Pelodiscus sinensis: one gene and its partner. The protein of the gene in region 2 interacts with the protein of the main gene of each other region in a pairwise test. Links are inferred from orthologs where the notes say so. Each region holds a gene or a part of one and is shown on either strand. Other genes may lie near its edges. The genes, in order: DYDC1 and WAC.

Region 1 (8,547 bases), on a different chromosome or scaffold from region 2:
GAAGCACGGGGAACCGCCGCTGCTGCCGCTTCAGTCCCGGTGCCTGTGGTCTGCTGGGGACCGTCCCCAGCAGACCGCAGGCACCGGGACTGAAGCGGCAGCCGCAGGGGGGTCCCGCACCTCTGAGGCTTTGCCAGAGCAAAGCCTCAGAGGCACGGCACCCCGCTGCCGCTGCGGCTCTGCTCCCGGTGTCCCTGGTCTGCTGGGGGGGGGGGGATGCGGCTAGTGGCCCCCCCCAGCAGACCAGGCTTTTGTTTGGACCCTGGAGCAGAGCAGCTGGGGCGCTGCCGATTGGTCCTGCAGCGCCGCTCTGGGCACTACTGGACCAACCCGGTAGCACCCCAGCTGCTCTGCCCCAGGTCCTGATTCAGCCGCTGCTGGTCAGTTTCATCAGTGGCTGAATCAGGACGCCTGGGGCAGAGCAGCTGGAGTGCTGCTGGGTTGGTCCAGTAGCACCGAGGAGCGGTGCTACTGGAGCAACCCAGCAGCACCCCAGCTGCTCTGCCCCAGGCGTCCCCAAGTCAGCCGCTGCTGAAACTGACCAGCGCTGACTACAGGAAGCCCGAGGCAGAGTTGCTCTGCCCCAGGCTTCCTAGAATCAGAGCTGATCAGTTTCAGCAGCAGCTGACTTGGGGAAGCTTGGGGTTCTTAAGTTGAATCTGTATGTAAGTCCCCCCCCCCCCCCAGCAGACCACAGGCACCGGGACTGAAGCCGCAGCAGCGGCGGGTTCCCGCGCTTCTGAGGCTTTGCTCTGACAAAGCCTCAGAAGCGCGGGAACCCGCCCGGTGCCCCTGGTCTGCTGGAGACGGTCTCCAGCAGACCAGGGGCACCGGAGCAGCTTACGAACGGGGCTTTCTCGCCCCGGAGCTCACAGGTAGCAATCCGCCACCTCGACCTCCGGGGCGAGAAAGCCCCGTTCGTAAGTGCGGATCCGACATAAGTCGGATCCGCGTAAGTCGGGGACTGCCTGTAAAATATTTTGTGTATGCAATAGGGATGCAAAATCTTGTTTAATTAGTTAAATATTAAGTTTAGCCGGTAAACCAATTAAATGGGGTGGGCGGGGGAAGCGGTTTCCTCGCTGCGGTCAGAGCCTGCTCCGGCTGAGTTGGAGCAGATTCCTGAGGGCTGCTCCAGCTGCCACCAGTTAACCACTGACATCCCTTAATACATAACCAAAACATAGAATATAATTCTGCTCCATTTATTTCACAATATAATTTCCATGAAGCAGAATAGGTTAAGCCTCTATAAACCGGATTTCCCTCATCCAGCAACATCTGTAATCCAGCATCCATGAGTGGTCCGGGATCGGAGCACTCACGGGGAACAGCCGGAGGCCCTGCACTCAGCAACTCCTCTCCCTTCCTCTCAGAGCTTGCAGAGTGCCACAAATAGCCCACTTGCAGTGTTTAAGCTCAGAGATGAAAAGGAAGGTGTGGAGATGGGGGGCACTCAGGGAAAGGTACAGGATGGGTGTGGTGCCCCATGGCCAGAGGTGCAGGCACACAGGGGCCAGGAGCGCAGACCAGCAGCTGCAGGAATCCGATGCTGGCCACAGGCACCACACTCTCCCTGACTCTTCTACCAAGCACTCCCCATTCCCACTCCCTCCATGCTGGCCCCTCTGCTGCCATCATAAAAGAACCCAACAGACTGTGGCAGCAGAGGGTCTGCAATTGACATCTCCTGGTCCGGCACCAGTCAGGTCCTGAAGGTGCTGAACCAGGGATGTTCAAGCTACAGTTGCTTAACACAGTTTAACTTCAGTAAATATTCACTTATCTCTAGTTACAATAGTACATGATCACTACAGTGTTCCTTATAGTGCTCTATTCTATTAGTTCTAATGAACAGTCTCAATTAGCTATTTCCTGTCTTTAATTACACACAACTTCACTGAATTAAATGCTCATTCAAAAGGAATCTAGAAGCTACATAGAATTTAAATCATTTCTGTGTGTGATCAATTTTAAAAAAACAGATCTTATCTAAAGGCAAGTAACGCACATGAAGCAAGAACTAGGTTCCTGACACAAGTGGGATCAGAAAAATCATAAGCTTTTCCTTCCTTTTGATCTCTTACAGATACCCCTTTGCTATGGTCTCTTAAATTCAGACCATACTTTCTGGCACACTGGCAATATACCAGTGTTTTGTCACAATGCACCTCCACAAAATGCACATCTGAACCCACTTACCTCCTGAAGGTTCTATACTTTCCACTCACCTCAAAGGATTCCTCAGCCAACTCTTCAAATATATTTACATTCTTTGCATGGTTTTTTCACTTTTGATTTTGGGATGCTTGATTTTCTTGTTTAAACCATTTCTACAACAAAAGAACAGTTAGGAATGAGATATCTATAAATGTCATAAAGGGCTATATATATGGGCATATGTCTCACCCCTACCATACATGAGACTAAAAATATCTTGACTCAGAATGTACTTTTTGTTTATGTATTCTGTGCAAGCATTTGCATGATCAGAACCTTTTATACTACTTCTTACTATACTGCTTCTCACTTGTGTACAGACCCCGACTGATTTTTCTGTGGGTCAGCAACCCCTGAGCCAAAAAGGTTCCCCACCTCTGCTGTAAGCTAAGTGTTCAGATGCCGCCACCCTCCCACCCCCGCCGCTCAGCAAAGATTCAAATGCCACCCATCTGATTGGCAGACTACCTATAGCTGGCAGCATGTTTTTTTCTGCTGTTCCTGCATATCTGCACATGCCTTTGTGCACATAAAATTTATTCTGCACATGGATGGAAAACATTAAAGAGAGCATTGGCTGAGTGTGTATTCTGATTTGCAATGTATGTAGCAGCACTCCCAAGTGACAAGTCAGACTCTTGACAAGCAGCCAACAGAGCTGGTGCTATCCAGCTTGAACATCCTGGGGTTTCGAATAGGCCCCCACAGACGACTGGAAATAGTTGCAGGCTCCAGAGACGGCTCTGACCATTTGGCCCAGCTTATTCCTCCTCCCCTCCTGGAGCCCAGGCCTCTCTGCCCCCACCGCAGGGAGCATCCCTCTCCAGCTGCTGCAGACATGGCTAAGATTGCCAAAGGGATGCACACTCGGATGCGAAATCCCAGCCCGCCCGCCAGCCGGTTAAACGTTAAACCTCCGGGCTCGCCCGGTTAAACGCCTGGCGCGAAATCCGGGCTGGAGCAGCCCCCAGCCCCGCACTGGGGCTGGCTCCCAGCCTGTGGGGGCGCGGCCAGCCCCGTCTGCGGCAGCTGGGCCCCGGGTGCCTAAGCTTTGCTGCGGACACGAAGACCCCCGTGGGGGTGAGGGGCGGCCGCTGGGAGACGCGGTCAGGGACTACGGCCGGCACGGCTCCCGGTGGGCCTCGCCGAGAGGGCAGAGCCGCCCTTCACCACACCGAGCGGAGGCTCCCTGGGGCGAAGCCCAGCCGGGAGAGACGCGGCCCGAGCCCCGGCGCTTCCCCGCTGCCGCCTGGGAGCCCTACGGGGTGGCCGAGCAGCAGCGCAGCTCAGGCCCGCGAACCGCCACGACGCCCAACGGTCCGCGGCGCGCGCCCACGGGGGGGGGGCTCAACCGTCGGAGGGCGGGGGGGGGACGCGCCGACCTTTGCTCCGACGCTTCGCGCAGCCTCAACCAGCACGCCCTCCTCTAGGCGCGAGCCCGGGAGCGTCCCGTCGCTAGGCAGCCGTCCGCGTGGCCCGGGCGGGAGGGTTGGTGGCGGAGCTGGCGCTGGGGGCTGTCACGTGAGTAAGGTGGCAGCGTTAACCCCCCGGGCTGCCTGAGGGCAGCTCGCGCCTGGGGTCTCGAAGCGCAGCCCCGCCCTGCCAGCCCGGGGACATAGGCCTGACCCGTGCGCCAGGGGGCGAGCGATCGTCACACGAGACAAACCGCTGCCGCTTCCACCCGCGTAACGTGAGCGTCGGGCCAGCGCCCCCCGCGTGGAGGGCGAATGCCTCGATCTGTTGATGGCGCGGGCCCAAGAACCCAGCAACTGGACAGCTGGGGCAGGGATGTAAACGGGTAACCAGTTACCTGGTAAGCACCACCCTTACTGGGTGCAGGTAACTGGTTAACCAGCGCCCCGCGCACGCCGGTAACTGGTTAACTGGCACACGCAGGTAACGGGTTAACAGGTTAAACAGAATCTTGCATTCCTTGTTGGAGCGCCAGAATGCCAGACTGAGGGTACGTCTACACGGCAACACTATTTCCTAATAACTGAGTCCGTGTCTACGTAGCAGGCAGGTATTTCAAAATAGTGTCAAAATACTGTCAAGCTGGAGGACTACGCTGACCCTCGTTGGAGGAGGAATAAGGGAACTCGGAGGAAGAGTGCTCTATTTTTTAAATAAGTGCTGTGTAGATGCTCCCTATTTTGAAATAAGCTATTTGGAAATAAGCTACGCAGTTGAGGTAGACACCAGAGTTGTCAAGTATCAGAGGGGTAGCCGTGTTAGTCTGAATCTGCAAAAGCGACGAGGAGTCCTGTGGCACCTTATAGACTAACTGAAGTGTAGGAGCATAAGCGTGGGCAAAGACCCACTTCGTCAGATGCATGAAGTGGAAATTTCCAGAGGCAGGAATAAATATGCAGGCCAGGATCAGGCTGGAGATGACGAGGTGGATCCAATCAAGGAGGATGAGGCCCACTTCTAGCAGCTGATCTGGAGGTGTGAATTCCAAGAGAGCAGAAGCTGCTTTTGTAGTTAGCGAGCCATTCACAGTCTTTGTTTAATCCAGAGCTGATTGTGTCAAACTTAAAGATGAACTGTAGCTCAGCAGAATACTGATAGAAATGTAGCCCTGTTAGTCTGGGGTAGTTGAAGCAAAATGCAGGACAATGTAGCACTTTAAAGACTAACAAGATGGTTTATTAGATGATGAGCTTTCGTGGGCCAGACCCACTTCCTCAGATCAAATAGTGGAAGAAAGTAGTCACAACCATATATACCAAAGGATGCAATTAAAAAAATGAACAAATATGAAAAGGACAAATCACATTGCAGAACAGAAGGGGGATGCGGAGGGGGGGGGAGGGGGAGGAAGGAAGGTAAGTGTCTGTGAATTGATGATATTAAAGGTAGGGAGAGTGGGATGTTTGTGAGTTAATGGTATTACAGGTGATAATTGGGGAAACTGTCTTGGTAATGGGTGAGATAGTTCAAATTCTTGTTAAGTCCTTGTTGGCAAGTGTCGACTTGTAGCTCAGCAGTTTCTCTTTGAAGTCTGGTCCTGAAGTTTTTTTGCTGCAGGATGGCTACTTTTAGATCTGCAATTGTGTGTCCAGGAAGATTGAAGTGTTCCAGAGTTGTCGACTCGAGTCTCACGACTTGAACTCGAGTCCGACTTAAGTCACCTAGATGACTTGACTTGAGACTCGACTAAGGTTCATGGTTTGTGACTTAACTTGCTAATTTTGTTGAAGCGACTTGGTGAAAAAAATGTCCGAAAATGCCGCTGTTCTGATGCGCCCAGAGCGTCCAACGCATCCTCACCTCCCAGCTGGGATTCCCAGGCTGGGAGGCGGGGCCGCGATCGCTGCTCTTGGCGCATCAGAAGCCTGGTGGGGGTGGGGGAAGTAGCTAAGAGTCCCAGCCACTCTTCCCACCCCCACCAGGCTTCTGCGCAGTCACAGGCTCCTAGCGCCGATCATGGCCCCGCCTTCCAGCTGCTCCTCCCGCCCACGCAGGCTTCTGTCCGGTGCGCAGCCGGAAAAATCAGAAAATACCGGACACCTGGCAACCATAAGTATTTCAATGACGTAAACAATTATTATATTCATGAAGATGCGAGATTTCAGAGTTGTAAAAAATGAATTGATAAAAATATCCCATTTACTTGTCAACAGTATGCTACATTGTTGTGGGTTACTTTTCTTTCAAAACGATGCAATACATGGTGAATGTGTTTCATTTTTTTTCATTGTTTTGAACGCATCTAGGCGCAATTTCTGGCTTTAACGTAGAGCTACGACAACAACAATGCGAAAATAGTTTATTGGCTTGGGATTTGTGAAAATTTTATTGATTGTGTGTTTGTTTATGAAATTTTACATTAATATGCCATTTTTGAAATTTCATAGTGAACAAACAAAATTAAAATAATCAAAAAGTTAATATCCGTCTGTGAAGAATGAGGAAGAAAAATCAAAATGTCCTAAACTTTGTTTTTTTCGGTCAAATCAATAAATCCAGAGAAAACACGATCAGCGAAGTGCAAATTATGTGGGGTTGTAATCACTGATGGCATTGCAACAACTTCCAATTTTTTGCGCCTTATAAAAACCCATCCGCGAAAGCACAGTGAGTACGAAAAATATCTGCGACAAACCACAATTGATCCCGCCTCACCGTGTAAAATATCGGATTTCATTTATAAAGCATGATAATCAAGGTGTTTATGGAATAAATCATCCTAAACAAAGAAGAATAGTCAGTTCTTTGGTTATAGAACTGATAATTGGTTGCTTACTACCACTTTCAATAGCAGAAAAACCACAGTTCAGGCGATTTTGTCATGTGTTGGATCCCCAGTCACAAGAAATAAGTCGGTCTTTGGTTATGACATAACTGGACAATTTGTACCATAATGTGAAAGCTGATGTGTTGGCACTTCTTACTGAGGTGGACACAATTGCACTGACGCTCGACATCTGGTCAGATAGAAGAATGAGAGGCTTTTGGGGAGTAACAGCCCACATGATAATAAGGTACGCGCTCGTGACAAATTGTTGTCATGTGAAAGGTTCCTTGGCCAGCATACTGGTGAGAACATTGCAGAAGTGTTTGAGAACATATGTGATTCTTATAAAATAAAGGATAAAATTAGATATGTTATAACAGACAATGCTGCGGACATGCGTAAAGCATTCATCATAGCATTTAACAACCATGAATCAGAGCAGCAAATTGATATGCAAGATGACACTTTGGAAAATGAAGAATTATGTGAAGACTTAAACCCAGAAGTCGTTACATCGGTCATCCATCATGTAAACTCAAGTGGACCTCGAATTAAGAGACACAGTTGCTTTGCTTATACTCTGCAACTCACTGACCATGGTCTCAAGGAGGCGAAGTTATATGGTGCCCAGGCAAAAGTGTCAAAAATCTGCAGCCTTCTTCACACAAGTACTCTGTTCAAGGAAACCTTTGAAAGAAGGTTTGGTCTTCAAGCTTGTATTCCCCAAACCAATGCTACCAGGTAGAACAGTACTCTTATGCTGTGTCTACATTGGCGTGATTTCGTGCAAAAGCGGCCGCTTTTGTGCAAAAACTTGCTGCCTATCTACACTGGCTGCGAGTTCTTGCGCAAGTACACTGACGTTCTAATGTATGAAATCAGTGCTTCTTGCACAAGAACTCTGATGCTCCCGCTCAGGAATAAGCCCTCTTGCACAACTGTTCTTGTGCAAGAGGCCAGTGTAGACAGGCAATATGAATTTCTTGTGCAAGAAAGCCCTATGTTTAAAATGGCCATCAGAGCTTTCTTGTGCAAGAGAGCGTCTACACTGGCATGGACGCTCTTGCGCAAAAGCACATCTCTTGCGCAAAGGCACATGCCAGTGTAGACGCTCTCTTCTAGAAGAGTTTTTGCACAAGAACTCTTCCGCAAAAGGGTTCTTGCGCAAGATCATGCCAGTGTAGATGTAGCCTCAGACAAATAAATGTTTTTTAGTCCCTGGATGAAGAAAAGCAGAAACACATGCTTGAAGAACAAAACCAGTATAATTTAAAACCCAGCCAGAGGGATTATTCCCAGCTAAGGGTATGTCTACACTACCACCCTAGTTCGAACTAGGGTTGTAATGTAGGCAACCAGAGTTGCAAATGAAGCCCGGGATTTGAATTTCCCGGGCTTCATTTGCATATTGCCGGGCGCCGCCATTTTTAAATGTCCGCTAGTGCGGACGCCGTGCCCCGCAGCTACACGCGGCACGGACTAGGTAGTTCGGATTAGGCTTCCTATTCCGAACTACCATTACTCCTCGTGGAACGAGCAAGCCTAATCCGAACTACCTAGTCTGTGCCGCGTGTAGCTGCAGGGCACGGAGTCCGCACTAGCGGACATTTAAAAAGGGCGGCGCCTGGCAATATGCAAATGAAGCCCGGGAAATTCAAATCCCGGGCTTCATTTGCAACTCGGGTTGCCTACATTACAACCCTAGTTCGAACTAGGGTGGTAGTGTAGACATACCCTAAGAGAACTAGCGTTGCTACTGAGGGGGAAATCTCGTTCCCCTGGGGTACAGAGCCCCCAGAAGGGTCCGAGGCTGGAAGTCAAATCAGTGAGGCAGGAGAGAAATCTAGAAGGGAAAACTTTATTATGCATGCATGCAGGCTGGCAGCAGAGCAGTAGCAGTCAGCCCTGAGTTACAGGTTTTTTGATCCTTTATACAGAATGCTTAGACAGTTCAGTTGTTGATTGTTTTCCTTAACATATCAAAGTCTCTGCAGAAGTACTCTGAGACTTCTGTTCACACCAGGAGTGCTAGAAGTAAGTTTTACACAACAAAGGCACATGAGAATGTGGAGTGAGTAGTCTTACAA
Region 2 (9,009 bases):
TAGTCTTAGGTCTTATTAGCATTTAAGTAAAGGTTTATTTTAAACTAACTTAAAAATATCTGTGCATTTCAACAAATTATGTTATGTAAGTTTTCTGTAACCCTGAAATTGGAGATACAGGGGGAGTACTGAGGTAACTACTTCAGCATGGATACAGTTAGTCACATACTGGAACAATCAACAGTATAGTTTAGTGCAACTATAGAACACACTAACCTGTGTTTAAAATCAGGTAGCCCTTTATATGTACTGGGCATTATGGACATAGATATATCAACACCTAGTCAAGAAGTTCCAGTTGTGTCCAAACAGCTCATTCCAATTCATAAAAATAGTATGAGTATGCCATTCTTCTTAATGGTATCATTAATTAAAATGCATGCAGTTTAAACTTTTGTGTAACTATTCCAGAGCGTAAGTAGGCTCTGCCCATTTGTTCTATACAATTTCTGTTACTGACAATTTAACATTGAGTGAAACAATTATATTATGTTTATGAAATGTAAGGAAGACATGATTTCTAACTATGTAAAGAATACTTAGAGTGTAACAATCACTTCAATCTATTTCACTTTTTGTCATTTAAACTTTATTTAAAAGGGCTTGCATTCACTTATGCAAACATTTAAGACTACTTGTTACACCTACTAAAACCACTCTGAACATGTCACCATTATCAAAATACACTGAATTTTTCACTCTATGAAGGAAAGGGGAAAGAGGAGGAAATGGAGAAGTAACCTTCTGTTGCCTCTAGATATTCCAATATCTACACTACATTATCCACTACATTATCCCCCAACACCACTGTATGCAATAAAACCCTGCATCACCAACCATTCAGTTCAGGTGGACTTGAAAACTTCAATTTACTTCTCCTATTTTACAGAGAAAATGTATTCAATACTCAGCTTCCCACTCCTTCCCTTCCAAATGCTTCTGTAATGACCCTTCAAACATTTACACATGTGCTTACTTTTCCTATGGTAAGTTTCATGGAAATCAGTTGAACTCCTCAGAGCAGTAAAAAGTTAAGGAAAATAAAAGTGTTAAGTGTTTGAAGGATCAGGGCCTTCGAGAGCAAGTAACTAGAACTAGAAATTAAATGGCACTGCAGAACAGAAGCTTATCAGGCATATATCATATTTGGAAATGTAACATTTAGATGAACAGCACATCAAAAATATTAATCCAAGTTAATCTGTGGACATTTCCTTATGCACGAACACATTATGAATAATTAAATAATTGAACAGATGACACACTATCAGCAGCTGGAACTCTGATGCTTCAAAACCAATGGAAGAATAAAAATGTATTTTGCTTATGGAAACATCTAAAATGTAATCCAATTAAGATGTTCTCATAAACTACTCTTTCCAGCACCTTTAGAAGTCACCTTAAAAATGCACCAATACCAAAAAAAATTAATTGCTTTAATCTCTTGGTGTCTTTGTTGACATCTACTATTTTTTGGAAGAAAAAAAGAATCAGTTTAATATAAAAGACTCAAGGCAATGACCTCTGGTGGAACTGAGTACCAGTGCACAGTCTTCTCACCATTGTGTAAGACATGTCACTTGTAACTGTTTTACTTATTATTTCAATAAAATTTAAATCAGATTACTGCTTAAATAAAAATGATTAGAAACAACTCACCTCCATCCCTCTCTCTAACTCTGTGAGTATGCACACTTTTTGCTTTACTGTGCCCTGTGCTGTCACTATATTTGTTTTCAGGGCTATCAGACCGTCGCAACATTTTATTTGGTGGTGAAGGATCTGCGGTGTCTCGCATCTTGTCATGACGGTGATCACCACCACTGGGGTGACTCTTTGATGAGTATTTAAGAGTCTGCAAGAAAATACATTTTAAATTAATTTAATTTTTGTAGCAGTTAACATCACTTCCAACTAACAGAAAATCTAATTTTTCAAGATAAGTAAAAATTTTCACTTCAGTGAATATTTAAGCCACATATTAGCACTTTAGGAACACAAGTAGAATAAGGCTTTCCTATGTTAATTATATATATAAAGTAAAAAATTCTAATTTAGCTTTTTTACCTAATTTTCCTACTGTGGTTTCAGTGTGGAATATCTCCTATAATAGGGTATTAGAATTAAACTGCAATTCCTTGAATTCTTATTCATCTTGTGTTACATACATTCAGCACTACACAGACTGCTTTCTTCATTTTGGGGAGGACAAAATATTCAGGTGTTTAATAAGTAACTGAATAAAAACAGATTACAAATTCTGCTTGAACCACAGTGTACACACTACAAATTTCATCAAGACACCTAAGCTCACCCACCACCTTGAATTTCCATAACAAACTTTATTTGAGCACAAGAACTAAGATAGTATTTAAAATGAGACTGAATAAGCAGGTGTGCGGGGTGTAGCGGGAAGCTTACTTTGTGTTCATTCTGGAAAATGTACACATTGGAAGCAGCATGATCAACATCTTTCACCCATTTGCTTTCATAATGCAAACTTCAGGATGGGGGAATGTTTACATTTAGGTGAACTGTCACTGACAACTTTCAGTTGTCACACTGTTTCACAAGCAGCCTGCCACATGCCTAGAAATTTCATAACAGCCCCTCAAATGTGTACACTCAAGAGAGCACAATACTCCACTATACTACTCATGGTGATAAGTGTCCTCAAAATACACAGTGCAATACCCACTGCTCCCCAAGAACTGGGTTTCCATGTGCACAAGGAGAGGGAGTACATTATGCCTCTCAAAGTACTTTCTTAGTTGGCACAAGGATTTTGATGCAGATTTCTGAGTGCAGCCTGTAGCCCCAGTAATCTGGTGCCTATAGGGTGCCCTGCTCAGGTCACAGTCCCAAGCAGGGATTTGGGGAGCAGGAGGTGCTTTCCAAAGGGGCCTTTAGAGAACAAATTTTACTATCTATTTTTCACTAATTGGATACTGACTCATTCTCCCGCCCCCCCCCCTCCCGGCACTGAAGGCCGAACTCTACACAAGACCGCGCTAGGCCTCGCCTCACTTCTCTGCCTCTGTCCCGGGCGGCGCAGAGGTAACTGGGACCTCGCGCCCCTCACATGTAAGCGCCCTCCTCCCCAGGACTAAGGGGCTTGTGAGGGGAGGAGACAGGGAAGTGGCTGCACCGCGGCCTGTGTCGGCGGACGAAGCCTGCGCTGGAGTAGCTCCCCCCTCCGCTCTCTCCCCCGCTCCTCCTCCTAGGCCTAGCGGCCGGCGCTGCAAGTACCTGGTAGGGCTGGGAGTCCCCCCTGCGGTCGTGACAGCTGGAAGAGAGAGAGAAAGAGACGTTAGCGAACAACCGTTACCGGCCGCCGAGGGGGAGGGGTACCACAAACATGGCGGAGGGTCTGGGGGAGCCCCCCGCGGGTGGCGGGGAGGAAGGAGGGGGATTTACCCATCACTGAGTCTCTGCTGTTTCCTCGCATACATTACCATCAATGCCCGGCCTGTGTGTGTGAATGTGAGGGGACCAGGAGGGGACGGCCGCGGCCGGGCCACAGGCGCCGAGGGGGGAGGAGGGGGAGGCAGCGCTCCGCCTCACCACCGACCGGGACAGGGAAGGGGAGGGAGGGAGGGGGCGGCTCAGGCAGCTCAGCTGGGAGCAGCGCTCACGGGCCCATCTCCGCTCCGCACAGCGGAAGGGGACACGCCACAGCTCGGCCCCGCACACTCTGAGACACTGAGGAGCTCAGACTCCGCTGCCGCTGCCTCCTCCCCCCGCTGCGCCCACAGCCGCCGCCGCTCCTCCAACTACATCCGGGAAACTCGGGCGACGCCGTGTTCGGTTCACGTCGGGTGTTTTCGGCTGTTTTCGGCACACTCCTCCCACTCAGTCCCCTCTGCTCTAGGGCGGCCGTGCCTTCGGGAAACATCGGCTCTTTTCGCCAAGTCCAACGCCCTTAATCTTCCCCCTTCGGGCAACATCGGCTCTTTCCGCCACCAGCCCTCCGCTAGTCCGCAACCAGCCCCGGGAAAACATCGGCTATCGCCGTAGAACGTTCCTCTGTATTCGGAAAGTTTCGGGGTTTTCCGTGACCCTTCACCCCCCCTCCCCCCAGCTCTGCGACCACTGCCGGTTGGAGCGCTCGGGGAAAGCAGCTGGTCGGAGCGCCGGGCTGGCTCATTGGTTAAGAGCCCCTCTCCTCTTGCGGGGCATGGCAAGCTCTTGAGAGGCGTGCTCCGCGCTGCTACCGACAGCCTGGGGTGAGAGCGCTGCTTACCAGTTAGTAGCTCTGCCGGCTGCCGGCGGAGGCTCTTTGGCCAGGTCGGACACAGCAGGGGCAATAGCAAGAGAGAGGGGCTTCTCCAAGCCGGATTGAGAAAAGGGAGGCTGGAAAGGGTCCGCCTCAAGCCTAGGAAGCAGCTTATATACGTCCTGTGTTCGGAGAGAAAGCGCGGCAGAGAAGAGGTTAAAACGACCCTGTGGGAGGCTCGCAGCTGGCTGCTTGGGTTGTGAGTGTGTCCCATGCGCTGCCCTTTGCGGTGCTTGTTTGTCTCGTAGCAGCCCCAGTGGATGTGTAAGTCCTAAGACTCGAAAGCCGGAGCTTTGTTCCTATCTGTGTTAGGCATGTGCCTTAGTTATCACCGCCATAGTTGCTGTGGGAGTTGGGTAGCAATAAGAAGAGCCGCTCCTGTGGGGTTTCCTCTCAGGCTTTTTGTAGCTCTCAGAGCTGTTTCTAGCGTCTCCGGCAGGTTTTTTTTTCTCTCTAGCGTCTCCAGTTGTGTTTGGTGGTGGGTTTTTTGTTTTGCTTTTTGGCCTACACTTAGTAGCAAGAGGGTAGAGAGCAGTGAATGTTGGGGTATCCCTGGCACTCGCACCAGCTCCAGTCTCGGTGGCCCTACCAAGCTCTTCCGTGTAGACAATGTGCATCCTTCACTGCAGAGTGCTCTTATCCAAACTGCTCCCTGTGTCCTGAGGAGAGCGAAGAAAAGCAGCTCTCCAGAGGCGGGCAAGTTCACAAAACATGCTTCTCTAATCGAAATGCTAAATCTCCTTCTAAGCCCTGCTCATATATGCATTTGAAAATAGAGTACTGAATTGATTCACTATAGGCAGACCTGGGAGGTACTGAGAGTGGAGATGGTACTTATGCTTAAGTATCATATGGAGAAAATACCTTTCTTTATCCTTGACTTTGAGTATTTCTAGTAACAATCCCTACATTTCTATTCTCAATAGAAAAGACCATATTTGTAGAGTAGTTTTATATCAGTGATCAAACACTGAAATTTTGAGCCCAAAAGGAGTTAGGTTTTTTTCCAAGAAAGTCATGCATGTCTGATAAATAGGCAGCTACAATGAAAACTGGTTTGTGATAGTTTTGTTGTAATGAAGGGTTGGACTTCATTTAATGTAAACATCCAATAATTATTAAAAGACACTCATTTAAGCACTCAGCAAATAAATGGAAATTCTGGGACCTTGAATTCTGGCCCTAGTCATTTATTCTCTAGATTGGAAAAGCCTGGGAACACCACAGAAATTGTATCTTTGGGGCTGTAAAACTTAAGTCTGAGGAGATGATGTGTTTTTTCTTTTAAGCAGAGTGTTCTATCATGGCTATGTTTGTACTGGTTTGTTAGCATAGGGTTGCTCACAAAAGCCCAGCTACAAGCGTTTTTATTTTGTTTTTCTTTTTTAAATAAAAGTGCTGAAGGGTGTTGCTGAGAGAAAACTCAAAGCAGTGGCAGAGTCCACTTAGAGGGTGGAGCCTGGAGGATGACTCAGCAGGGAGCGGTTCTGCAGGGTTACAATAATGAGCTGGTGAAATTCATGGAAGACTTATGCCTGCAAAGAGAAGAACTGAACAAACAGATCAAGGAAGCGGAAGTGGAAAAAAATAAACTCCAGCATGAAATCCAAATCCTGAATGAGCAACTGGAGTGTGTCTGTGAAACTTTGACCCAAAAGACAGCCTCACGGAACGAGCTTGATAAAATCCTTGCAGAAACTGAAGCTGCTTATATGAAGATTTTGGATAGTTCTAGAATGCTGCTAAATGTCCTGAAGAAGGAAGTGGGGAATTTAAACAAAGCTGCAGAACTGAAAAGCAATGTGTCCTGAAATACCCAAACGCTTGGACTCACCACAATCACAATGCCTCTTGCTCAGAAATAAGGTTAGCCACAGAACACTATGATGAGCATTTATCTGAGAAAGGACTCTACCTTATTTTTTTATATGTTTTAGCACATTTTAACATCATGGAAAATAATGTACAATAAAGATAAATAAAGGTGCAGTTTTGCTAAAAAAATTCCTATAACTATCTTTACAACACCTATGAAAAATTATACACTCTGTAAATAGATTTTAGGAAAATAGAGGTCAGATTTTGCACTAGGTTTGGCATGATGTTTACTTGCCCTTACAGTTGTTAGTCAAGGAAATAATTTTTTGATGTACTATTCAAGCCCTGAATGTTCACTGCTGAGTTTCATTGAGATTTATTACTATTCCTTAAATCTGAAAAGAAAAAGCACTTTTGTCTCTCTTCAGTCACACCTCTAGCAATGGCAAGAAGACTTGTTTGTGACTTCTGAAAGAAATTCAGTCCAGTTCTCTCTTACCTGGGGAACATTGTCACTGAGCCCTGGGAAGAAGAAAGGGATGCTATAAAATGAGGTAAATGCTGAATATGGACAAAATACTTTGGGCTCCTTTTGGCTGAGTCAAGATCATGATGATTAATTGTTTTTAGTGGTTGCTAGCCAAACAGAAATCTGTTAACAAATTCTTCTTTTTTAGGGTCTGCTGTCTATCTGAAATTTGCCCATAATTCAAACTCAATATTTAATTTTATAAAGATGGTATCCAGAGGCTCTATGCATTTTTGTGTTGCTTTAAGGCCCACCTACACTCCTTCTAAAATAAATGGAACATGAACACTTAGTCATTTACATCAATATATGTTAAAAGTAAGTATTTTTCCCCTTTTAATACTAGTTAAAAAGAACTCTCAAAACTGAATTTCTAAAATTTCAGTTGGCCATTTCCTTATAAAGTGTGTGGCAACTGTAAACTTGCATACTGGGAGAAAACAGCTTCCATCACTTTTATACCAAGTGGTATTCTAATGGGAAATTCTGAGTCTTTAGAAATCTTGACCATACATGGCCTAACTTATTGTGATAGTTCTTATCACTGTAGAATCTTCATACAACTTGTTGCAGTGACAATTTTTTACTTAACTTTGTAGAAGCTGTCTGTCTACTGGGATCATCTTCTCTGAGGGCAAAAGACAAAACAACCTGAAGACTTTATTTTGGATTCACTTGTGTAAAATGTCTATTATTCATGTATTATAGACTCCAAAGAATTTTGAAGAATATGGGTGGGAGAGTTCTAAATGCACATTAAGAAAATAATATTAAAGATGGTTCTCTAGTTTTGAAGTTTTCTTTTGAAAGTGATTAAAAACCTAGTTTAGAAGGGCAAAGAAGAGAAAATGGCAGAAATCTCAATTCTAATCCTGTTTTCTATTTCTAGTATGTATTAAATCTTTTATATTGCCCTGCACAGTAACATATTGTAGCACTAGGTTTGTTCTTAGATGTGCCTGGCAGTAAAATCTTTCATACAGGTTCTATACATTTAAAAGACTGCAGTTATACACTGCCTGATAAGTAAGGGTAACACAAACAATGAATCCCTCAGATGTAAGAGTAAAGGGTTTGTTACTGCACATTGTCTCTAGTTAATTAGTCTATATTCAGTTTTTGCATCCTCCTGATTCCCCTATGTACAGTGCTGCTTTTAAAAAAAGTCTCATGGGGATAGGATGGCTGAGCTAATAAACAATTTGTTCAAGTACCATTTCTGCTAGTCTCTTGAAAAATACAAAACTAGCCACTATTAGGGATTCTGCTATTGTTTGGTACTGTAACTCTAATGAGGTAAAATCCTGCATTCTTGTTTTTATTTTACTTCACAAATTACTGCAGATATTTTTGACTGAGTCTGAGCTTCTGTCTATCCATCCACATGTTTGATCTGCTTACCCTGTCTGATCCTGCTGAGTATTGATTACTATGTCATGTTTGTTACTGACATCACAACCTTAGATTTTTCTTAGTCTCTAGATAAGTACAGCAAGGACTTCTGTCCTAGCTTGGCATGTAGTTGTTTTACTTAGACATAAAGAATTTCAGGTGGAAAAAGAACTTGTATCATGAAAGCTCTGGTTACAGAGAACTCAAATGGCAGCTTCATACCTCTTGTATTTCCCATGTCATTTGGAAGGAGTGAGTGAGAGGCAGTTTGTCAATAAAATAACTATATCATATGCAATAAGCAGTATTTCCTATTACCATGCTTAAGCAATTAAAACTTTAGTTTAATTTTACAATTTATGTACAACATCAGCTAGTACAGACAAAATTGAAATACTTGTGCTGATAACATTTTTTTTTTTTTAAAAGCCAATGATTGGCTACCAAATGCAAGCAAATACATTTATTATCCCAATATCTCAACACAATGGGAATACAATTTAAATGGTCATATGCTGCTAACTGAAACTCAGCTGAAATTAGTGGACAGTTCCGAAGCACAGATGGAGGGCAGAGTATGGCCTTATGTCTGCTCTGTTAGGGTATCTCTACACTACGGTGTTATTTTGAAATAGCTCATTTTGAAATAAAGTGTCTATGCATAAAATGCATTTTGAAACAGCATTTTGCTATTTCGAAATAGCATGTCCACCCTGAGTGCATTTAAGGCTGGCCGGAACCAGTTCTAGCAGGGCACCAGGACAGGACTTACTGTGTGGGGCTGCTGCCTGAGGTCTGTGCTTAAAGGGACAGCCAGTTCTCAGGTTTCCCTGCTTGCTTGTCTACCTCACTGAGGGACAGCAAAGTATTTTGTCTCTGCATGCTCTGGTTGCCCTCACTCGGGACACCACAGCACTCTGCAATATGGAGCCAGAGCTGCCCCTAGGCACTCTGGTGCTTCTCTTGGATGCATTGCTGCGTGCCTGGCTGCACT

Evidence for each region.
Region 1: the proteins of WAC (region 2) and DYDC1 interact in binary tests that used the Homo sapiens proteins (3 or more experiments, as listed by UniProt). The two-hybrid records come from large-scale screens. The link is inferred for Pelodiscus sinensis from reciprocal best matches to the Homo sapiens genes WAC and DYDC1.

The regions. Positions count from the first base shown.
Region 1 is NC_134718.1:14,157,544-14,166,090, forward strand, and holds the start of DYDC1 (DPY30 domain-containing protein 1), read right to left. Parts: upstream 3,742-8,547; 5' UTR 3,603-3,741; intron 3,588-3,602; exon of another isoform or gene 3,396-3,587; intron 2,334-3,395; 5' UTR 2,232-2,333; intron 2,140-2,231; exon of another isoform or gene 2,012-2,139; intron 1-2,011. UniProt on the Homo sapiens protein: Functions as part of axonemal radial spoke complexes that play an important part in the motility of sperm and cilia. Plays a crucial role during acrosome biogenesis.
Region 2 is NC_134712.1:227,347,624-227,356,632, reverse strand, and holds the start of WAC (WW domain-containing adapter protein with coiled-coil), read right to left. Parts: upstream 3,837-9,009; 5' UTR 3,459-3,836; coding exon 3,418-3,458; intron 3,287-3,417; coding exon 3,250-3,286; intron 1,856-3,249; coding exon 1,660-1,855; intron 1-1,659.